Linked DNA regions of Kluyveromyces lactis. The protein of the gene in region 3 purifies or fractionates together with the protein of the main gene of each other region. This does not show direct contact. Links are inferred from orthologs where the notes say so. Each region holds a gene or a part of one and is shown on either strand. Other genes may lie near its edges. The genes, in order: UTP6, RRP5, UTP4, NOC4, UTP15, CSL4 and BUD21.

Evidence for each region.
Region 1: the proteins of UTP4 (region 3) and UTP6 purify together in Saccharomyces cerevisiae (affinity purification with mass spectrometry; 4 studies listed by BioGRID). This does not show direct contact. The link is inferred for Kluyveromyces lactis from reciprocal best matches to the Saccharomyces cerevisiae genes UTP4 and UTP6.
Region 2: the proteins of UTP4 (region 3) and RRP5 purify together in Saccharomyces cerevisiae (affinity purification with mass spectrometry, with the first as the bait; 3 studies listed by BioGRID). This does not show direct contact. The link is inferred for Kluyveromyces lactis from reciprocal best matches to the Saccharomyces cerevisiae genes UTP4 and RRP5.
Region 4: the proteins of UTP4 (region 3) and NOC4 purify together in Saccharomyces cerevisiae (affinity purification with mass spectrometry; 8 studies listed by BioGRID, with this or other methods). This does not show direct contact. The link is inferred for Kluyveromyces lactis from reciprocal best matches to the Saccharomyces cerevisiae genes UTP4 and NOC4.
Region 5: the proteins of UTP4 (region 3) and UTP15 purify together in Saccharomyces cerevisiae (affinity purification with mass spectrometry; 7 studies listed by BioGRID). This does not show direct contact. The link is inferred for Kluyveromyces lactis from reciprocal best matches to the Saccharomyces cerevisiae genes UTP4 and UTP15.
Region 6: the proteins of UTP4 (region 3) and CSL4 purify together in Saccharomyces cerevisiae (affinity purification with mass spectrometry; 3 studies listed by BioGRID). This does not show direct contact. The link is inferred for Kluyveromyces lactis from reciprocal best matches to the Saccharomyces cerevisiae genes UTP4 and CSL4.
Region 7: the proteins of UTP4 (region 3) and BUD21 purify together in Saccharomyces cerevisiae (affinity purification with mass spectrometry; 3 studies listed by BioGRID). This does not show direct contact. The link is inferred for Kluyveromyces lactis from reciprocal best matches to the Saccharomyces cerevisiae genes UTP4 and BUD21.

The regions. Positions count from the first base shown.
Region 1 is NC_006038.1:119,427-122,425, reverse strand, and holds UTP6 (snoRNA-binding rRNA-processing protein UTP6), read left to right. Parts: upstream 1-1,134; coding exon 1,135-2,499; downstream 2,500-2,999. Other genes in the region: YML6 (mitochondrial 54S ribosomal protein uL4m), read right to left, coding at 1-355, 524-562; chromatin-binding transcription regulator ADA2, read right to left, coding at 2,593-2,999.
Region 2 is NC_006038.1:728,546-732,649, reverse strand, and holds the start of RRP5 (Rrp5p), read right to left. Parts: upstream 2,801-4,104; coding exon 1-2,800. Other genes in the region: YPK9 (putative acid anhydride hydrolase), read left to right, coding at 3,967-4,104.
Region 3 is NC_006040.1:1,131,567-1,135,719, reverse strand, and holds UTP4 (small subunit rRNA maturation protein UTP4), read left to right. Parts: upstream 1-1,442; coding exon 1,443-3,653; downstream 3,654-4,153. Other genes in the region: condensin subunit YCG1, read right to left, coding at 1-1,203; KLLA0_D13200g (uncharacterized protein), read right to left, coding at 3,736-4,153. UniProt on the Saccharomyces cerevisiae protein: Involved in nucleolar processing of pre-18S ribosomal RNA. Required for optimal pre-ribosomal RNA transcription by RNA polymerase I together with a subset of U3 proteins required for transcription (t-UTPs).
Region 4 is NC_006038.1:952,990-956,184, reverse strand, and holds NOC4 (ribosome biosynthesis protein NOC4), read right to left. Parts: upstream 2,067-3,195; coding exon 501-2,066; downstream 1-500. Other genes in the region: PPT1 (protein serine/threonine phosphatase), read right to left, coding at 1-237. UniProt on the Saccharomyces cerevisiae protein: Involved in nucleolar processing of pre-18S ribosomal RNA and ribosome assembly. Has a role in the nuclear export of 40S pre-ribosomal subunit to the cytoplasm.
Region 5 is NC_006042.1:1,275,201-1,278,594, forward strand, and holds UTP15 (snoRNA-binding rRNA-processing protein UTP15), read left to right. Parts: upstream 1-1,331; coding exon 1,332-2,894; downstream 2,895-3,394. Other genes in the region: AIP1 (Aip1p), read right to left, coding at 1-772; SLD2 (Sld2p), read right to left, coding at 3,044-3,394. UniProt on the Saccharomyces cerevisiae protein: Involved in nucleolar processing of pre-18S ribosomal RNA. Required for optimal pre-ribosomal RNA transcription by RNA polymerase I together with a subset of U3 proteins required for transcription (t-UTPs).
Region 6 is NC_006040.1:1,659,619-1,662,254, reverse strand, and holds CSL4 (exosome non-catalytic core subunit CSL4), read left to right. Parts: upstream 1-1,242; coding exon 1,243-2,136; downstream 2,137-2,636. Other genes in the region: BNI4 (Bni4p), read left to right, coding at 1-926.
Region 7 is NC_006037.1:682,612-685,088, forward strand, and holds BUD21 (Bud21p), read right to left. Parts: upstream 1,254-2,477; coding exon 501-1,253; downstream 1-500. Other genes in the region: Mn(2+) transporter ATX2, read left to right, coding at 1-390; KLLA0_A07645g (uncharacterized protein), read right to left, coding at 1,612-2,430. UniProt on the Saccharomyces cerevisiae protein: Functions as part of the small subunit (SSU) processome, first precursor of the small eukaryotic ribosomal subunit that coordinates the first two steps of ribosome biogenesis in transcription of the primary transcript pre-RNA and pre-18S processing.

The DNA.
Region 1 (2,999 bases), on a different chromosome or scaffold from region 3:
CTGTGGTATAATCATTTGGTGCAGTTCTTGCTAGAGCTCTACCACCGTTATGCCTTATTGGTGAATTAGCGTCACCAGCTCTGGCCATACCAGATCCCTTTTGTGGTAAAATCTTTCTTCTCGAATAACCAACATCACTTCTGCCTGGGGGGTTAGAAGACCCAACACGTTTACTGTCATTTTCGTAAACAACAGCACGCCATAGTAAGTCTCTTCTCAATGGAGCATCAAATACTGAGGTTGGCACTGGTGCAAATGTCAATGGTTCTAATGATGGGAATGAACGAACCGTTGCTAAGGTATATTTTGGCGGTAGACTAGCATTAGGAAGGGGTTTGTTGGAAACGTAACGGACCTGTAGAGAATAGGGAAAAGAGTAACAAAAAATTACGAGCAATAGTTAGTAAATCGATCTTCTAAAAGTAGGTGATATAACTGCTTAATGCGGAAGGATATCATCATGCAGTTTGAGGAAAGCCCGCGCTTTACCATTGCAACAGTGATGAAAATGGGTTTGACATACGTTTTTGCACAAATTCAAACCTTGTCTCTTGGAAAACATGGCTGATTCTGATACACTGACTTAATGTCTCGATACAAAGGGGATCAATTGGACACTCCTATGTCTGATCACCGCAAACAAATCAATCATCTTTAGTATTCAACCTATTTCATATTCAGATTTTTGATTATCGAAAATTTGTCTACCATGTAAAATATCCGGGTAATGTTAAATTGCCCGAATTAACGATCAACAAAACTGTCATCTTGTATGAAAGCATACAACGACATTAAGGGTCGCAGTTTATGGTAGTCCCGAATGTCATATGTAAGCGGATTCAATTTGCAGTAAAAAAAAATCCGATTTACGCTAGCAGAACAACAATTGTACTTGTCCTTTTGTTATTCATCGATGGTTATTTAAATGGAGGACTTTATTCTGACTGATTATATGAAAAAGAAATCAATATAACCAAAAAAATTCAAAAGCTTCAAGGCTCATCTCATCTCATCTCAGTATTATTTAGCATGAACAAAGCCAGTAGTCGTTTCCTTTGTCAGTAAGCGAGCGATACGAGTCTCCGTGATTACACTTTAATCAATACTTAACATAAAACTACCCAGAGTAAGGCGATGTCATCCAGAACAAGATATTACTTGGAACAATGTATTCCAGAAGTTGATGACTTAGTGCAGAAGAAGTTATTCACTAAGAATGAAGTAAACAAAATTATGAAGAAAAGGACTGATTTTGAACACAGATTGAGTTCGAGAGGTTCAAGTATAAGTGATTACATCAGATATATTGAATACGAGAAGAATGTCGATGCATTAAGAATGAAACGTGTTAAACGTATCTTGCAATCGAACAAATCAAATAGTATTTCGGATTTTACCATACAGCAGAGGATTCTCTATATTTTCCAAAGAGGCTGCAATAAGTTCCCAAAAAAATTGAAATTTTGGTCTTTATATTTGAATCATTTAAAATCAAAGGGTACAAATGCCTCTTATAAAAAGATTCAAAACGTCTACAATCAATTGCTCAAATTACATCCAACAAACGTTGACGTTTGGATATCATGTGCTAAATATGAATACGAATTGCACGCAAACTTCAAGAGCTGTAGAAATGTTTTTCAAACTGGTCTTAGATTTAATCCAGATGCTTCTAAACTCTGGTACGAGTACGTTAAATTCGAACTGAATTTCGTGACAAAATTGTTAAATAGAAGAAAAGTGATGAATTTAATCAACGAAAGGGAACAAGAGCTAGATATGCTACAACAGCAAGAGGAAGGAAGAAACTCCAGTAATGTAACAGGTCTGGAAGAAACTGCAGATGACGAAGCATACTTTGACAAAGACGGAATTCAACTTCCAAGTACTGGTGACAAGATGAAAGATAAACTAAACGAGTTACCAGAAGCCGATATGAATATGCTTGGATCAGAAGAAACTAATCCAGCACTACGTGGTGATGTCGCATTGGTTATATTCGATATCGCAATGAAGAATCTGGGCACATCTTTTGTCAAGAAACATCAAGGATACTACGCCGTTACCAATTCGCAAGTCGATGAAGAGCTCAGCAGAAACGTTATGTCCTACCTGTTTGATAGATGCCTCGAGTATATCAACTTATTTTCGGAATTTCAAGATTTAAAAAGAGAATATCTGATAAATCACGTATTGCAATGGCTAAAGGACGAACATTATAATATTTCCCTTGAGAAAAGTATGCCAGAAAAATATGTGGAATTATTATTGCATGATGTTACATTAAATATCAAATTCATGCCTGCCGGCGAATTAAACATCGACAGTCTCCAATTGTCCTTCAAAAAGTATTCTGCATACATCAGCAAATTAGATGAGACGAATGCCAAACAACTTACTACATTATATTCTGGTTATTTGACCCAACATCTATTATCCAATATGGATAAATCTGATTCGAAGTATGCTATTTTGAATGCTATTATCAAGAAACTGTAATGAGACACTGTATACACATTTTTATGTACATATTTGACATTAAGTAGTAAGGTAAGCAGTGGAGCCAATATTTCCACAGTTTTATAACTCTAATTAAACCCAATTCTGAGAAACGAAGAAATCATAGATTCTGTTGGCCTTCGTTGCCTCGATATTCAATAAATCACGACACTGTTTCTTCGAGAGTTGACCTGCAGTCCGTATTAATTCTCTGAATAGTACCTCTTTGATGGCAATGTAAGGCTTTGGCAAAATTTTCAACGTTATGCATAACTGCTGTTCCTCAGCTGATAATAATTGGAAATCTGCCCCATGCTGAATGTCACTGATAGTCATTAGTTTCTTACGTCCACTTCCTTCGTTATAATTTTGAGCATAATCAGCTTGCGATCTATGGGCCGAAGTAGCTCTATAACGGGCAGTGTTACTAGATGAAGAAGAAGAGTACACTTGACTTCCAAATCTTTCCAATGTCATAATTCTTGCTTGTTTATCACGTT
Region 2 (4,104 bases), on a different chromosome or scaffold from region 3:
GTGAATCATTTTTCTTGTACACACTTAATGGTGCCTTTTGTTCTTTGATATCTTCGAAACTGTCGAAAACTTCAGAAATACTGATACGACCATGTACATTATCAGCCAACGTAACGTTAAGCTGGTTCTTCTTAACTGATGTAATTGTAGCCTTTGTAACCTTACCGATAGTGAAGTCCGACAAATCTTTGATAGACTTGTCGACTGGGTTAATTACAGATGAATTGATCTTCTTAACATCGGTCTTTTGTTTTAAAATAGTCAATAAAAATCTTTCATGTTCCTCATCTGTTCTCAATAAATACACGGTCACGGATTGATTGATGTAGTATTTCTTATGAATATCAATATCTCTGGTTTCTGCTGCATAACTTGGTAAAACCAAACCGACAAATTTACCATTGAATGCAACAAAAACACCACGGTCAGAAACAGATTTAACGTAACCATGCATCGGTTCTGTTTTGTCTTTATTTTTGATGTCGGAAAAACTTAAAGGAAGGGTACCGTCTTCAGCATCTTTAATCAATGATTTTTTACAGGACATGTTGAACACATGAGTCCTGATGTCCTTGTCCAAAACCAAACCTCTAACTTCAGAGTTAATCTTTAACTTTTTCTGCGAAGCTCTGTTTTGTTCAATTCTATCATCTGACAAATGGCCGGTGTAAATAACACCGCGCAACCCTGAATCTTTAGATTCTACGATGACGGAATCTTTAGTCTTTTCAATAACAATTGCATCGATGATAGATTTACCGACAACTAAAGATTCAATAGCACTCTTTTGCTTGGAAGAAGACTCTGCTGAAATTTTACAAGAAGCAATAATTCTGTTTCTTTCGAAGTCATGATTCAAAATTTTAACCAAAACACTTTGTCCTAGTCTTAAGTGTTCTTGTGGTTTCTTTACAAATGCTTCTGAAATTTCTTTGTTTGGAACGAAAGCTTTGATATTATTAAAGAACGAGATAACACAACCATTAGGCTTGAATATTTCAACAGTACCAATTGTTTTCAATTCTTGACTTTCAACAGTCTGAATATCATCATTTTTGCAGACTAACGTCACAGATTCTTCGTCTGCATTTACAATAGACTTTTTCAATGTCACAGTGACACGGCCCACAGAATCGACATTGAGAACTCTACCTTTAACCTTTGAACCAATTTTGAATTTTCTTTCAGGATACACAAGTCTGGTATCAGATATGTGTAAGGGAGGAACAAATGCCTTAAATTGATCATTGAAAATTTTTAATTCAATACCTTTTCCTGACACTGTGACAATCTCACAAGCGCTCAAAACTTCGCCTGCTGGAATATCGGACGATCTTAGGTATTTGACATCAAGTAAGGCTGGATCAGACGTCAATGTGTAAAGTTTATCTACATTGTTATAGCCGAGTATTCTTGCTTTCACAGTTCCCGTTGGTTCAGTTTCTCCTGCCTTTGACAAATGAATTTGTCCCACCTGTTCATTGTTGATTGATACGTAGAAAAATTGACTATCCCTGCCTTTAACTGTGCAAGAATCGAAGATATAGCCAACGGGGAAAGATTCTAACGCTTCGGTCTCCTGTAATTTTGGATGCAATGAGATGATATGAGGTTGTGTGGAAACGACAGCAACTTTATCGCCGCTTTTCACTATAGTGGTTGCCAAAATTCTAGCATTGACTAAGTCACCAATGGAGTAGTGATGCTTCAAATCCTCTACCGTAAAGAAATTGGAATGTGGCAATGGCAAAAATGCAGTTATTAGACCGAAGGCTTTACCGATAACACCGTGATTTGTGATAGTTTGAGGTAAAAAGTCAATCGATTGACCCGGCACGATGGCATCTATGGAAGAGATCTTTTCGACCTTGGTGTTTTTACTGGCCAAATCCAAGTTGACATTTACAGTTCTACCAGATCTTTTCGTCACTGTAGCTAAGAACACCATACCTGGTAACAAAGAACTGAATTCAGGTATATCCTTCTTTGAGATAAAACCTGTTAAGTTCTCAATACCGATATCAAGAATGGCACCGTGATCTTCTATACTTTTCAACGAACACTGTAGTGGACAGTTTTTAGCTAAATCATCATCTTCAAACACGTTTACTACAGAGGGTTCGATGGATAAGTCTAACTTTTTGTTCTTGTTTGATTCTAAAGCGCTGTTATTTTGTACCATGCACCTCAACCATTGGCCTATTTTGAAATATTTATTGAGATCAGGTAATTCTTTAGGAGTTGTTATGTCGCTTTCATCATCTGAAGAATCGTATTCTGAGTCCTCATTTTTTTCATCATCGCTTTCCATGGATTCGTCCAAATTTTCCAAAATCTTGGTCATTTGTTCAGAGATATCTGTTAATGAGACGTAACCATGCAAACCGTCCACCAAAGATATTTTCAGTTCATGTTTGCTGATCGATTGGATTTGACCCAAGACAATGGTCCCTTTGGTCATTTGTTTCATTCCAAAATGCTCAATTAAATCAGTCTTGTCCTCTTTTTCTTCATCATCACCTGTGGTAATTTGATCAAAATTATTCTTAGCATTCTTCTTTTTCTTCTTCGTTGGGCCCTCTGCACCAGTAGCTGATTCATCCTTGCCAAATAAAACATCAGCAACCACTTCGTTACCAACCTGCTTAACTTCCAATGGGGATAAAGCAGAAGAACCACCTCTTGGAAATGAGATTTCCTCGGATTTACTCAATGCAGATTTGGCTGGTGCTTCGGTAGCATCCTGTCTTACTAAAGGAGACTCATCGTCTCTCTTTCTTTTACTTTGTGGAGCAACCATGTTTGTGATCTTTTTCGGTATTTAGATATGCCTGTTTTCAAAACAAATTACACCTAGCAATTTAGATGTAAACCTATGTTTTTCTTGAAGTGTCTTGCAAACTATTGAAGCTCCTGTTCCCAAGTTGTTGTTGTTTTTGTCTTCTGTGAAGATAGAAACCAATAAAGCCAATAGAAAGCACAAAGCAAAAAGAATTCAGAGAAAGATACAAAATATGTTATACCAAACTGTTTCCTGTTTGAGAAAGTAAACCAGACTTATCTTTACCAGAATTAAGAAAGTTGCACTTGGTTTCTAGAATCAACAAAGCTCAGAAATGTGTTAGCATACCAATACAAATGATCCAGCACTTAAGTAGCTAAAGCTCATCTCATCTCATCTCATCTCATCGCATCGATTTTTGAAAATTTTCAATATTAAAAAAAAGAAATCAAAACGACATAGACGAAATGTAATCGCGCCTTTGATGCAGTGACAGTTTAATAATGGAACGTTGTACAGATCTTCCGTTGTTATCACTGGAGTTTGTTTGAACCGTATCCACGGATTAGGGTCTTTTGAATGCATGACATACTTCTTAACTATTAAGGGCTTTTGTTAGCCAGTTATTCTATCTTCTTAAAGAGGTATAATAATTACATATCTGTAATGGTGGAAACCATGTAACTAAAAGGTTCTAGGGGAGTGATAAGAGTTTTGTTGGTCATGCTAAGAAAAATTTGTGCAATTACGAGTGGAATGCCTTCTATGGTAATAGTTTCAGATCAGACTATATGTTTTTTCTCTTTTTTGTTCAATTTCATTTCTAAAGGTACTTTCACAGCCGGAAATATTTATTATAAGGCATAAAAGCACCATCATATTACAGTCTAAAGCTGTTTCTGGCTCCTTTCGATCCATTTTCAGGGGCAGTCTATATATCTATCGAACTACGAGAGTTTTATCAACACAGTAAAGTTCCACATTGTAACGTGAGGTATCATTGGCCTGCCTTTTCTCCTATCCTTCCTTATGTATTATGTGTCTTGGTATGAAATTTCATTAAATCAATTATCTTCAATTTATCAACCTACATTCTCATATATATCAGAAACCTTTAAAAAGTAATATGGAGTGGATTCTATCAATAGATAAGGTCGACCAACGCACCTTTGAAGAGGGACTCAATGTCATCATTCGACAGCAGATTTACAGGAATACCCCATAGTGCGAATAAATCAGCAAGACCGTCCTTTTCTTCGACAAGGACGGGATCCAGCGCTAATACAACTACTTCATCAGCAATCTTGGAACAAAACAACACA
Region 3 (4,153 bases):
TGCATAGAGTGCTTGTTCTGCATATGTAGAGTTCACAACGTCAATGTTCTCCAATAAATCGATGATGTCACCGTCCAGGATGTTCAACCAGGTGAAGGCAACTAATTTTTTACAAGAATTTCTAACCGTTTCATCTCTATCTTCAAACCCCCAGGTCATCAGTTTCTCTAAAATATCAGAATCCACCTCATCGAACGTATGCTTCCCCAAACTCTTTAGTACTCTTGTAAACACCAATCTTCTATTGATGAAATTAACATCTCGTACCCGTTCCAAGATAACATTCTGGGTCGCTTTCGAACGTACAATATTCAACATTGCTGCCCTCCGAACTTCTGGACTTGGATCATTCCTAATGATATGCATTAAACTCTGTGTAGCTTCATCGAGTTGGAAATTTACTCCGGTTTCTGATTCATTAATCATCGATACGTTATCGTTTTGAAATTTTGTCAAACAAAATATCGCCTGTATCCTAACATGAGGTTCCTTGTCATACACCCTATGCTTCAAAACCCACATAATCAACTCGTACAATTCCTCATCAATTTCTCCCATATTATCCATAGTTGCGGCCAAAAGTTGCATTACTCTGTATCGTACGTTTTTATTTTTCGATTCCACTCCTCGAAGCAGATTCCTCACAAATCCATCAATAAATCCTCCGAAATGTACTTCCAAATTCCTCACATTTTGCTCATTACCATCTTCGGTTCTCATCTTGTTAAGATTCGACTCTATATTTGCGATGAACCCTGAAATCAACCGAACAATGCGATCCCCCACGATTTCCTGTTTCTTCAGCGGCAAGATTTTGACAGTCATTTTGATAAACCAATAATGAAACACATCTGATATCTCTTGCTCCACACATTTCAAATAAATCCTGTATAAGACAGCTACATGACGTCTGTGACCAGCATAACTCTTCTGCGCCACCTGGAAAACCTCCGCTATAGAATTCAGAACACGACGATTTGTAGGAGATTCTCCATCCTGAACATCCATATCAAACAATTGCACCCTTTTGGTCAATAATACCACGAGTATACACCAGGGAAAGGCTGCTATGAGGTTGCCGCCGATGTTTCTTCCACTTTCCTTTTCCTCTTTGTTTATTAGTTTGTTTATGTGAAGAGAAGATCCAATTGTAAACAAATCTCGTTTTCCCAATAGATCTAATATATCACGTGATATGATCATACTGTACGGTGTTGAAGCTAAACTAGTTTCTTTTTGAAAAATTTCAGCGTTAAGAGCACACAAGCTTAGAACAGAAGCTCATCTCATCGGATAACAAAGTCGTATATTTCTATCTAGTCAGTGAAGTTTTTTGATTGACATCAGCCTACAGTTTGTCAATCTTTTGTTTCATTCTAATACATTAGCTTTTGTTCTCTGATACAGGTTTAAGGTCCTCAATTTATAGAACACATTTGATCATGACTGATACTGGGAAGAAACAGGTAGTGCATCGATCCAGGTTTGTGCAGTTTACACCTGGTAATATAACGGCTCTTGCATTTTCACACAAAAGTACTGATAAAGCGGCACCGCAAGAGCTAAGACTGGCTATTGGTAGATCCAATGGTAATATTGAGATCTGGAATCCAAGAGATGATTGGGTACAAGAGTTCGTGATCTTGGGAGGTGAAGGAAGATCCATTGAAGGTCTTTCCTGGTGCAGTATTCGTGGAGAGCCTTTGAGACTATTTTCGATCGGTGGCTCCACTGTAGTTACAGAATGGGATTTGACAACCGGGTTGCCGTTAGTAAATTACGATTGTAACTCTGGTGTGATTTGGTCCATTGCAATGAGCAACGATATGAATAAGCTAGCGGTCGGATGTGATAACGGCAGTGTAGTACTTATTAACATCAGTGGTGGTAAAGGTGTTCTTGAGCATGAGAGCATACTTACAAGGCAAGAATCTCGTGTCTTATCGTTGACATGGACAGCCAATGATGAATCTTTGGTCGCTGGTTGTTCTGATGGAAGGATTAGAATATGGTATACTAAGGAGCAAGACGAAAACAAGGGAAGACTATTACATACTATGAAAGTGGATAAATCGAAGAAAGAATCTACACTCGTATGGTCTGTGTTGTATCTAGCTAAACAGAACCAAATTGTGTCTGGTGATTCTACTGGGTCGGTCAAATTCTGGGACTTAAACTACGCAACATTGACTCAATCTTTCAAGGTTCATGATGCCGATGTTCTATGTCTGGCTACTGATCTGGATAATTCACAATTGTTCACTAGTGGTGTTGATAGAAAGATTTTCCAATTCTCTTACATCGATACAGGAAAGAGCATGAAATGGATCAGTACTTCAAACAGATTATTCCATTCCAATGATGTTAGATCTATGTCCTCTTATCAATGTATGGGATCCGACTTCCTAGTGTCTGGTGGTATTGAAAAGTCTCTTGTCATGTGCTCAATGTCCTCTTTCGCTGAAGGAAATTATAGAAAGATGCCACTAGTTACCCCATTCCATAAGAGCATCCTGGTCAACAAACAACAAAGACTATTGGTGATGTGGCAGGATAATATCGTGAAGATATGGTATATTGGCGAAGACGTCAATGAGCCTAAGAACTACAAATTAGTTAGTAAATTGGTTTTGAAGGATGAACAAAACATCCAAACCTGTGCACTATCAACTGACGGACAAGTTTTATTAGTGGGAAGACTAAATACTACCAAAGTTTTCCATTTACAACCAACAGACAACAAATTGAAAGTAACAAAGTTGGACAATGAGTTTTTGTTGAGAACTGGTTGCAAATTTGCTAAGTTCATTGATGATTCTAGGTTAATAATGTGTTCACAATCTGATGAAATAGTTAGAATTGACCTTGAAGAGGATGACGACGAAAAAACCGTAACTATTGAGTTACCTGAAGCGAACTCAACGAAATCCAGCAATAAACTATCATATTTGAATGCAGTGAACCATTTAGATGCAAATGAACGTTACGCTGTTGCGTCTAGAGGTACCGGTGCTCTAGACTTAATAGATTTGACAACAAACAGTAGTAAAGCTTTAATTCGCATGAACAACTTCATCACTGCACTGTGCATCACACCAAGAGAGACTGTAGTAGTAGTGACATCAGAAAATAAAATATACGAGTTCAATTTGGAATCCGAGAAGGATCAACTACTCACTGACTGGTTCAAAGCCAATCATGAAAACCTCCCAAGGCAATTTACTTCCTTGAAAGAGAGATGCACAGGAATATTCTTAGATGAAATGGATGAGCATAAGGTATGGTTCTGGGGATCTAACTGGTTGGTTAACATCAACATGTCATTAGACTTGCCAGTTAGCAAAAGAAAGAAGCAAAAGAAGCGTGACCGTGACGGATTAACTATTTCCACTGACGGTCTACAGGCAGACGTCGATGAGGATGATGAAGACGATGAAGAACTCGAAGTTAAGGAAGATTATCTCTTAAAAACTCAGAGAGCGCAAGATGTCACCTCCAAGAAGAGATCTGATAAGGCGTTTTTCTATACCGATAAGTATAGACCTCTATTATTCGCTGGAAAGATCGCAAGTGACCAATTAATCATTGTGGAAAGACCAAACTTCTTGATCTCCCAACCTCCTGCATTTGAATTAGAAAAGTTAGTATTCTAATTTATAATTTCTGTACATTATTATAAACTCGATCTTCATCGCGAAATTGATTTTTAACATAGGGTCATCATTCCGCCGCATATCATCTGTGTAGTGTTCTTTCTGCTACCTTAATACCAATGAATGTCAAGAGCGAACTGCAAGCGAACATTTTATCAGACCAGACGTCGATTACAACATCAGGAATAGTGAATTTCTCACCCAAGAGTTGATTGACCTGTTTTGAGACATCATATGGTAAATTGGAGCGAATCATCAAGATAGTGGCAAGGATGTACACACCTGTCAACTCACACACAGCGAGGTTTTTGATGATCGAAGGGGGTTTCTTGGTATAGAATGCATCCTTATTGCTCGTAGGAAGCTCAGAGCCATTGGTACTCTGCATTGCAGATAACGCTAATAATTGTAGTTTGACAGGCAGTAATGTCAAAAGATAAGAGATTGTCGTAGTGACAGTAGAAAGAGAGCACACGAACAACGAGATGGACAATATCAAG
Region 4 (3,195 bases), on a different chromosome or scaffold from region 3:
GTTATTATCCAATTCAATTGCACGTTTAGCATCGTCTAAAGAACTTTGGAAGTTATCCAACTTTAGGTTGGTGAACGCACGGTTTGAATATAGGATCGTATTCTCGGGATCATGCTCGATGGCTTTTGTATAATACTCAGCTGCCTTTGCGTACAGTTTCTCCTTCACGAACTTGTTACCTTCATTCTTCAGCTCTAAGGCTTTCTCTGGATTACAGGCTTTCACTTCCTCAGTCATTTATTCAATAGTAGTGGTAAAAAAGCAGCCAACTGGTATGGTATGTGCCTTTAAGTCCTCAAGACCGATAAACGGAGCCCATTTTAAAGTTTTTTCTGATGTGAGTCTTTCTCTTCTTGATGTTGACTTGTTGATTTTTTTCATCTCGATGTTTCAATATTACGGCGATGTGATGAGATGTAATGTGAAGAGATTTGCGAAAGTGAAAGAAAGTACTCAATTTGGAATTGAACTACTTAAGTTTTCTACTTGAAATTATGTATTTACCATTTTATGAAGGGTAGGAATGCTGAATCAGAACCTGATTCGAAAATTGTTTCAAACCTTTCGAATTCAAGAGCAGGTTGGATCTTCAGCTTTCTATTGGTTTCTGCTTGCAAAAGTGAATCGTAAGACCAATCTAAGAAATCTTCGATGTTGTAGCTTAACTTTTGGAAAGGTTGTTGGAAAATCTTCGCTAAAGTGGCTACGTTTGGATGGTAGTGATTCATTAGCGTTTCTAGCTCCCATACTGAGGAGGAAAGAGCATTTGTAAGTTCTGGATTGGTTTCTTCATTGTTGAATGGATCTAGATATTCTTGCCTTTTCTTTGAATCGCAGTCGATGTATTCTGGATCGTGTAATAGAATCATACATGTAGGATGCTTTCTGATTAGATTGTACACGAATGGTATTATAGAAACAATAGCACCTGGTGGTGCCGATACGGATAAACGTGCCAAACGTTTGATGAATGACGCTACCAGTTGTGCGGATAAATGTGTAGAAGATAGAAAGGTGTCCACTAATCTGAAAAATCTTGATCTGTACTTAACGTGCATTACTTCTGGAGTTAGAAGCTGATATAGTTTTGAGTAGAAATTTGGATATTCTAGGTTGTATTTTTTCATAAGTTCAAACAAACCATTTAATGAAAGGATTGAAACGATACCACCTTGGTTGTAAGAGTCGGTAAGGAAATCCATAAGCTTTGTTGGTTGATGGAACCATACTATAATTCTCTTGTGTAGCACTAAAAGCACAGTTTTATATTGGCTACTGGATAAGTTGGCTAAATTTAGACAGTGCAACCAATTTGTTTCGAGGTTGGATTTAAACTTAGCATCATTCTCGATGGCTTGTGGGGGCACAGATACGAATATTTCCAAGTCTGGTGATCCCTGAACATCGTTGTTGCATAAAGCCAACCATTTAGACATCAAAATTTCGTCAGATGTTTGGCCATCAAGTTCTGGTAACAACGATATCAGTTCTGATTGTGTGTAGAATTGAATATCGAAATTCTTCTTATAATAGGCTTCCACAAATAGATTAAACACGGGATTCTCGCTCTGACCATCTTTGAAACCGATATCACCTTCAAAGTTACAATGGAAAAGAGCCACTAGTAACGATCTTAAAGTCTTATTTGGAAAGAAAGGACTATTTGGTTTCGAAGCCCAATATATCGATTCATGGTGAAGCATTTTCATATATGAGTCCAAACAATCTAAACTCAACGAGTTAACTTCATGCAAAGATGTAATGATAGCCAATAACTTAACCTTATAATTTAAATATAGTTTCTTACACCATTCAAAGAATTTCTTTTCATTGGCATTGGATGCAAGATGAGGCATCAATTGACCACGCTCAAAAAGTTTGATGAAAATCTGACTCAAAGCAATGGTCATATAACGGTAATCATCTTCCAAATTGTGCAACAATTCGTTTTCCTTTAGAAGTTCATTGTACCCATGGATTAGGTTCACCAACGAGTTGTAATGTTTTCTATCATTGCCGGTGCTAATAGACTTCCAAACTTGCTTAATCTCTTCCTTCGAGAGCATCTTGGTTAATCGCTGTCTGAATCCTTGGGAAACTTTTATATGTGAATTCCAATTATTTATTGCGAGTAATCAAACAGATTATAACGGTGAGAATATCCTACCTTAACGTTTCCTATTCGACTTCATCTCATCTCATCTCATCTCATCTCATCTCTTGATTCCAAATTTTTCAGAGATTCTTGCAATGTAGAAGACAATTGAAAAGAAATTATTCTTATCACGTGATCGCATTTCCTAATAAACTAGCTATCAATGGCGACATTAAATATATAATTTAGAGTGGTAAACCATTCTGTTGTCAGTCAAGTCTTGCCTGCATCACCTTGAATACGCACACTGATGCTCGTTCCTTCAGGGGGTGCGTATCCTCCAGTTCACGGCAGCCTATGAGCCCTAACAGCATACAAATTTCAACGATTAGTATAAAATGATCTAGCCCGAATTTCATCATATATAAGAGAAAGATTTATGAACCAAGAAATTACAAGACACAATTGGTGATGTAGAAGAGATGTAACTTTGATAGGCTTTACTTGTATTACTCTTTTTGGGCTTAAATCCACATGACCTTCCAAGTTTTAAAAGAAGACGATGATACTATTTGCGCTTTTTTAATTCTTACAATTCTTTCGTGGATGGGAATTATTTTCTGTTCATGGTTTTAATGGAGAATGTGGTGCCCTCGCAAGCCTTATAATCTTGTTACATTCTTTGAATGATTTGGGACACTTTTTATAAAATTCTGATTCTTTTTGGGAAGGTCATCCCATGTATAGACTTGATGTGAGTTTGTGTGTTTGAGTCTTGCTTCTTGCTAATATGAATCGCCTTGTGCGATTCATTTCAAAAACTAAACTAACTGTAAACGTAAACGTAAATATTAGATAGAAAAAAATGCCGTGATACGATGGTATCGTGAATATGACAAGTCGGAGCGGGAACAAATGAATCAACTATGAATCAGAGTTAGAATCTGGCACCAATTTTCATTTTCACTTCGTTACTTTTCGTTTCTCTGCTGCTTTGTCATATTCTTTTGATATGCAATTGATACTGAGTCATTTTCAATATCTCGAAAGAAAAAAGAATACGGCGATTCAAGCTCTGGTGAAAAATTTTGGAAAAAGTA
Region 5 (3,394 bases), on a different chromosome or scaffold from region 3:
CTAACCATGCGACAGCAAACAAACCACCGCCAATTGGAGCCTTTTCAGACTCAATGTATTTGATAAATTCACCAGTCTTACCATCAAAGCAACATATCTTACGATCGCTACCGACAGACACAGCATATTTCCCTGCACCTGGAGAGAACTTGACGTCTCTAACGAATTTACCTTGGCCGTGATGCGTTCTATCACTGCTTGCAAACTTGAAAGGTGGACCCTGGTAAAACACAACAGAACCATCATCACTGACACTGAAAGCTCTCATTGGTCTGCTTTGCTTGAAATGAACTGCATTGACTCTTTGAGAGTGACCCGAGACTTCACCTAACGAGTTGCCCGAGTCCCAAGAGACAAACGCACCAAACCTATCACGACCTTCACCAACAACAGCCAATCTTTTACCCTCAAAATCCCAGGATATATCAGCGACAGGACCAGCGAGCACATGTAGTTCCGACTTAACGTTGTACTCAATTTCTCCAGACTTATCGTCCTGATTCCAAGACCAAACGATAACTCTACCGGAATCATCTCCTGAAGCAACATATTGAGACCCCTGGATAGGAGAAAATTTTACAACAGTGACATTACTGGTACCATGGCCATTGAATTGAACGACATGTTCACCATCTAAAGATCTAATGATGGCAGATCTACCGCTACCATAAGCTAAACTGTCAGTCTTTGGATCATATGATAAATGTGTCGTAAAGTTTCTCTTTGTAGAAGGGAGAGGTGCAAAAACCTTTGCTAAATTAATCGAAACCATATTATCGCGAGATACTAGATCAATTGACTTTTGGAACACTCTGTAAACGCACCAGAAAGACCTCTTCCTGACTCAAACGTGTCCTGTTCTCATGGTTTAGTTTCTTGATAAACTGGTGAGTATAAATAAATTCCATACATATGGAATGTAAATAGACGAAATAATAACTACTGGGATGCAGAAATACAAAGAAAAGATATCCTAAATACCAGTTAGTATAATGAAAGTGGTATTGCTGAATACCTGGGAATCAAGAAAATCTGGGAAACCAGGTTAAAAGCAGATAAAGGGCCTTAAAGGCCCTTTATCTGCTTGTAAAGTACAGTGAACGGTTATTCTTCTCTGAAAAATCACAATCAACGAGATTCTTCGAGTCTTCAAAGAAAAGAAACCAGATTTTGGAAAAAAAAAATGATTGAAGCCTTAGCTCATCGCATGGTTGATAAAATAGATTTCCCTGTAATTTGCGAGTTATATCAGTCGGTTTGGTATCGTCAGACTACTGTTAAGTGATAGAGGTGATTCAGGCGATCAGATTGGTAGAAATATTGTGAAGAAAATGTCGTCTGTGAGACCTAGAGTGACGCCGGTAAAGGCTCCTGTGTTACCAAAGCAGACCACCCCAGAGCAGAGGTACTGGAGGTCTTATTCATCTACTCAGCTTGTTAAAGAGCACAATGCAGTGACTCATATTGCCTTCAATCCCCAGCATCCACATGATTTTGCAGTTACCTCTTCTACTAGGGTACAGGTCTTCTCGTCAAGGACAAGACAAGTGATCAAGACGTTTTCTAGGTTTAAAGATGTGGTGCATTCGGCCACTTTCCGTCAAGACGGTAAACTTTTAGTAGCAGGTGACGCTACTGGGTTAGTGTCCGTTTATGATAGTTATAATCCACGTACTTTGTTGCTTTCTATACAAGCTTCGTCGCATCCTACGCATGTGACGAAGTTTCACGATCAGGATAACAAGACTTTGGTGACGGCAAACGACGATAGAGTAGTGAGACTATGGGATGTTTCTCATGCTTATGAACCCACTTTACAGTTAACTGGAGCATCTGATTATGTTAGATCAGTCTGCTTTGTGCCAAATGCTCCACATATGGTCGCTACAGGGTCGTACGATGGAGTAGTTAGATTGTACGATATTAGAACGAAATCAGATAAACCACAGACAACTTTGGATCACGGTCTTCCTGTGGAAGATATCACAGCCATATCTCCTACTCAGCTTGCATCGTGTGGTGGTAACGGGTTCAAAGTATGGGACTTGACTAGCGATAGAGCCCTTTGTGAACGTCAAAATTTCGCAAAGACGGTCACCTGTTTGAATTACACAAATATGGGAGAAGAATCACCAATGAGTTCCGTACTAGTTGCATCCTCGCTTGATGGTCATGTTAAGATCTTTTCCCCGTTGGAGAACTTCCAATTCAAGTTTGGCTGGAAGTTTAGCAACGCTGTGCTAAGTTGTGCAGTCTCACCAGGCGATGCGCAAGGTAATAAACATTTCGTTGCAGGTTTATCCTCAGGAATTCTAGCCATCAAGACGAAGAAGAAGTCCAAAAAGATTAACCTCGCTGATGTCTCTGATTTGGAGGATTTACCATTACAACAGCAAGAGAAGTCTGCGAAATCCAACAATTTCCAGAGAATGATGAGAGGGTCCGAATACAGAGGTGATCAAGAGCATATTATACACAACGATAAGCCAAATCCTCAGCGTAAGTTGCGTCAATTCGAAAGGCATATCAACCAATTCAAATGGTCTGACGCATTAGATTCTGCATTTATCCCCGGTATGGCTAAAGAATTAACTTTAACGGTATTACAAGAACTAAGGAAAAGAGGTAAAATCAAGGTTGCATTATACGGTAGAGACGAAAGTTCTCTAGAACCACTACTCAACTGGTGCTTGAAGGGAATAGAAGATGTTAGAAGTGCACCAATTGTTGCAGACTGGATTGCGGTTGTAATTGAACTCTACGGTAGTGTACTGGAGAAGTCCCCAGTACTTGAAGAGATGGTAATCACTCTAAAGAAAAGAGTAAGGGAAGAGATCCGCAAAGCAAAAGAAGCACAAAAGATAGAGGGTATGCTCCAATTGTTAACAAACTGATAAAATCCTTTCTACACTGATCTATAACAAAAAGGAATGCGTGTAAAAGATTATATTTATTTACATTTATAGTACATAGACTGCAACAACTGTATCATCCCGTTCGTTACGTCTGTTTCTTTGTTTTTAACGTTCTGACTTTGAAGAAATCACCTTCTTCCTCTCCATTTACTGGCTCTGTTTCTTCCTGCCTTTGTTGGAAGATTCAAACGCTTGAAGTTGTTGCTAACAAGGTTGTATTTACTCTTACGTTGCTTCTTCTTTACGGGTGGATTGGATTGTTGTTCAGAGTCAGACTCACTTTCTTCCACTTCTTTACCCAGCATTTTATTGTACTCACGTTCCTTCAACTTTGCTAGCTGTTCATGAACATTTTTGTCTGGAATGTTGGTCGACTTCTCGTTTAATGCTGCTGGTCTCATCTTCGCTTTTGTTCTTTTCTTTATGGTTTTAACTTTCCGCACATAATTGCTCTCAGTTTCATTGCCGACAGTTCCCTC
Region 6 (2,636 bases), about 530 kb from region 3:
GTTCCATAGAGCAAAAGTTAAACGAGCTGACAATGGAATCTGATCAAGAAGATCAACTAGAAAAACCATTGGTGCAGAATAAGGCAACTAAATCTAGTCTTGAAGATTCAGATAATGAAGACAACGAATTAATCTCAGATATCATGGAATTTGCAAGTATAATAGACTTTGGACAAGATATCGAGTTAAATTTTGATCTCTATTCTGACAATCGTTCACACTATGAAACTCTAAATCCGGTCAAAGAATCTGTGAAAAACTCTCTATCCAAGCCCAGCTTCAATACTGAGACAGAAAACTCATTTCTTGTGGAACTTACTAACTCCCCAGAAATTAAGACAAACAGTTCAGTACTCAACCAAAAACAGACTGGTTTGGATGATCAGAAACACATATCAAGTACTATAAAAACAAGAGACACATCACCAGAAAATGTTAGCAGTAGCAACCAAAACACTTTTTCTGATAGCAGTTTATATTTTGATAATTATGATGAGGAAGATTTTGAGAACGAAGATTTTAATGGCATACATGCAGTAAAAGAATCCCCAAAGATCAACGCATTTTTACCAGATATCACAACATCGATGAGCAGGCCTATATCGATGTCTTTTAGGGGTTTGAAAGCGCCACAATTCAACAGTACCATGGAACTTTCAGGGCTTACGGGACTTGAACATATCTCAGATCAGATGTCGAAGAAATCGGAAGAAAGATCTAGCTATGCAGCAAAACTTGTTAAGTTTTCCTCTCAAATAGTCCTTTATGAGACCTATGGTGAACTTGAGTATGATAGGCATCCTGATTCGGCAACATGCAATCAACTTACTCCTCAATTGGCCCAAATGATAAAGGACGAGCTGAATGAGCTTAAAGCAGAAATGGACATTCACGAAGATTCTATGTGCAACACTCACTTCTTTTAGTAGACCTATAAATACATGTAATCATAGTAGTTAAATCATTTACCATGCGTTTCTATGTTTCCCTTTATATGGATTCAAATCGTGCACGTAGCTTTCGTGTTGAGCCCGCTTTGAAAGCTTTGGTAATATTACCCTACTATTTGAAAATAATTCTAACTTGTCTTCAACATCTCCCAAATTTTGAAAATTGTTTCACTCATTATGAAAATGATAAAAAAAGAGCTGCTTTATGCGATGAGCTAACAGTAATACCAAACTAGCTTAAATATGGCCTGTAAGATAATAAGAGTGTTTGATAACAGTAAGGTTTGTCTATATGCATCGTTATAAAATGAAGCCTTTTAAAAATTTCCCCCAGACTGTTATACCCGGTGATCTTATATGTCCAATATTTGATGTTGATGATGATAACAAGCAAGAAGTGGTAATACGCTTCCTAACGGGCACTGGCTGTAAACAGGAGAATTTTAGAGTTAACGGCAAGAACGTTGATATTATCGTAGCCACATTAAAAGGTTCTGTATCTGTGGAAGAAGTTCCAGCAGATATTATCGAAGACGACGATCAAGAAGACTCAGAGAATACGACGTTTGTAGAATCTCATGAGACCACCGGAGGGGATGCAAGCTCTGGCAATAGTAGAGTTATAAAAAGTTTCAAAGTATCAGTATCAAATCCTAGCAAGTTTGCTAGCAAGTATGTTGATGACCAGTTTGTCAATAACCTTCCGCAAGAGGGCGATATCGTACTGGCGAGGGTGACCAGAATCAGTTTGCAAAGAATAACAGTTGAGATTTTAGCAGTTGAGAATTCGCCCTTGCCGATCGACTCTGGTGTCGGAAGCAATGGGACTGGCATAATTGCTGCTGCTGGTGGATCTGGTGCGTCTACGTTTTCCGTTTCGCAAGTGTCCGCGGATTTGGGAGAAACTTTTAGGGGCATAATTAGATCCCAAGATGTAAGGGCCACTGATAGAGATAGAGTAAAAGTTATGGAAAGTTTTAAACCTGGGGATATAATACGTGCTCAAGTGCTCTCACTTGGCGATGGTACCCATTACTATTTAACTACAGCAAGGAATGACTTGGGCGTGGTGTTCGCTAAGTCTTCTAACGGAGCTGGAGAACAGATGTATGCAATTGATTGGCAGACAATGATTTCACCAAAGACCGGAGTCGCTGAGAAACGAAAATGTGCAAAGCCCTTCTAATATAGTCGGAACACAACAAGCTTTTTGTTCAAGTCTATAGGTACCTTCACATACATACATTTACAACTTTCATTTACATTTACATTAGTTTCGTATTAGGCTTCACGCATATTGGGAATATTGAGGAAGTTTCTACTAAGATCATTGTGAATTCAACGCCTGAATATCATATGTTATTATCAGAAAAGTTAGTTGGACTTTTAGTTGATTGGGAATTTCAACTCATCGTGGTCACCTCTTAAATCATATTCACTCAGTCCAACTTTTTTTCCGAACTTCTCAAATCTTTGTAGATAATGCTTTCTCTTCTTCTCTGCAATTTGAGTTAGGACAGGCCAATAGGCTTCATGATTATATTTGAAGTCGAGGTTACCACCATAAAGCGTCTCGAGTTGATCAGGTGGCACATAATTTGGAAATGGTTCATCAAAAACCAATTTTTCACGAGTCAACGGATCAATAAAAGGATGGATGAGCTTCAAAAAGGTCCACGCAAGCCA
Region 7 (2,477 bases), on a different chromosome or scaffold from region 3:
ATGATTTCGAAACAGAGATTACCCAAACTACAAGTAATCTCTAATCTTATTGCATTCAGTATATCCACACCGTTCGGGTTGCTATTCGTGATCCTGATGAGATTCGTCAGCAAGGACCTAATCGAGAAAATGAGCGATGGGCTATTGGTTCTGAGCGGTAGTAGTTTATTGTATGCTTCATTGCTTGCGTTGATCTCACCAAGTAAGGACCAGGAACAACAGTTACAGAATGATGGCCCGATCCCAGTGTCGGGTTCTGTTTTAGAGATGGGCGAAGGTGTTACCACTGAAGAGAAAATAGAACAAGAATCACTTCCAGATGTCAGATTGTTACTCTTGGGTATCTTTATCCCGTTAATGATCTCTTTCTTCGCTCCTCATGATAGCTAAAGCCAATCAGGAAACTCCTCTTTTAGATAATACATTATACACGAGACAAATCACATGTATAAAGACCTGTATATTTGAATAGATAGGTACATGTGGGCACAAATCCTCTTCTATTTACGTTTGAGACTTCTTCTTTTCAACCATTTATCCTTTGATTTCATGACACTGGTTTCCTTTTTTGGAGCCAGTGTCTTAGATACCTTCATCGACGATAGCAAGTTCACAGTGACAGGTCCTTTCTGTATTTGGGTCTTTCTCAATTCCCTTAGTGATCTCTTCTTTTGTTTCCGTAATTCTTCTTTTAGGGCCTGTTCTTCTTCTCTTTGCGCTTCTGCCGAGAAAGTAATATGTTTCGGCGTAGCCTTTGCGAAGGAAGATGCAGATCCACTTTCTAGCTCATCAAAGAACTCTTGTGGTAACTCTTCCGGCTCATCATTATCCGAACCCTGCTGCGCTACTAATTGTCGTTCAAACTCTAACATCTTTTCTCTCTGTTTCTCCTCCTCAGACTCGAGCAGCTTCTTCTTCTTCTCTAGCTGCTGTTGCTTGAACACTTTCTCGTTCTTTCGTCTCTTCTCTCTAGCTGCCTCTTCTTGTAACCTTGCAGCCTCTTCTCTTTCCTGAATCCTTTTCTCTATAGCATCTTTCCCACTACTCAAGCCTTCTTCTTCTGGCGCATCGCTATCACTCTCACTCTCACTTTCACTTTCACCATTCGCTTCTGCTTTTGTTGGTTTGAGAGCATCTAGGGTAGAGTTGCCCTCATCAGCTGTATGGAATGAATCATCCGCATCATCATCGAACTTCAAGTGTCTCTTCGCTACCAGTGCAGCACCAGAACCTAGAACTTTCTTCAAACCCATTGTTATATTTCTCAGTAAACTCTTGCCACTTGTCTAATCCAATGCACAATTGAACAGAAACACTGACAGAACGGTAACACGACCTGCTTCATGGACTAGTTCCAGTGGTTCATCTCATCTCATCTCATCGCTTTGTCCAAATTTTTCACTTCGAAAAGAAATGATACGTAAATAGAGGTCACGTGCTGAAGATTTTGTTCCTGACACTGGACTACGAGTAGAATGCTCATCACCCGTTAACGGACTGTGCTGTGTATTGGCTGGTTCTGGTGCTATTTGTTGGTTAGATTATATCAATTTATATCAACTTTATTGCTATGCTAATGGTATTTAATGTGTAGCTTGCAGTACTGAAACATCATGACACTTTAAACTCAATATCACAGAACTGGGTACCAAAAAGCATTCTTGCCACGTCTGTACCCATTATCCAGCATATACATGCCTTTATAATAACCAAGAGATATGATCTACCAGTTCCTGTTACTAAAGAATATATTATCCCAATGACACAGATGGTGATTAGGATATAAGTTATGATGACAGGATATCTTGCGTATAGCATTTGCAAGAACCGACTTAACGGACTGGTAAATGGTGATTCCCTGGATGGGGGAATTGAGGGTGACTGCACGGGGTCGCCTGAACATGGCTGATCGCTTGATGGTGGTGGTATTGGAATTGGCAACGAGGGTGTTGACCAGCAATGTATCTGTGCAGTGGGGTTGGACTCTGGGGAAATTGTTTGGTATGTTGTCAAATCAGGCAACTGTGATTCTAGTAGCGGTGACGATTCCTCCGCGACGCCGATATGACCCTTTTCTAAATCGCTGGCATTATATACCAAAGAGTCACTAACATTTCCATCAGGTAATGGTCCTACTATTATCCTAGTTGGTGTGCTGATTGGAACAGACTCCGGATGTGGTGAAGATTCCACAATGCGGACAGATTTATTCTCATGTTCGTGCGTGCCATCAACAGGTCTTAATATAGACTTGATTGGTATGGGAGTGCTGCTTTTCTGGCTACTGCTCTCACCGGATTGCATTGGTGGGTCCAGTTGTTTGGGTTTAGGTTTGGGTTTGGGTTTAGGTTTCGCTGCTGAAGCTGGTGCGTAAGTGATTGGTTTATTTCGACGTTTAGGCGAAAACCGCTTATTCAATAAGCTCTTCATATGATTTAGCTCTGTACAGTAGAAGCTGACGTTCTCTCTAAATATCT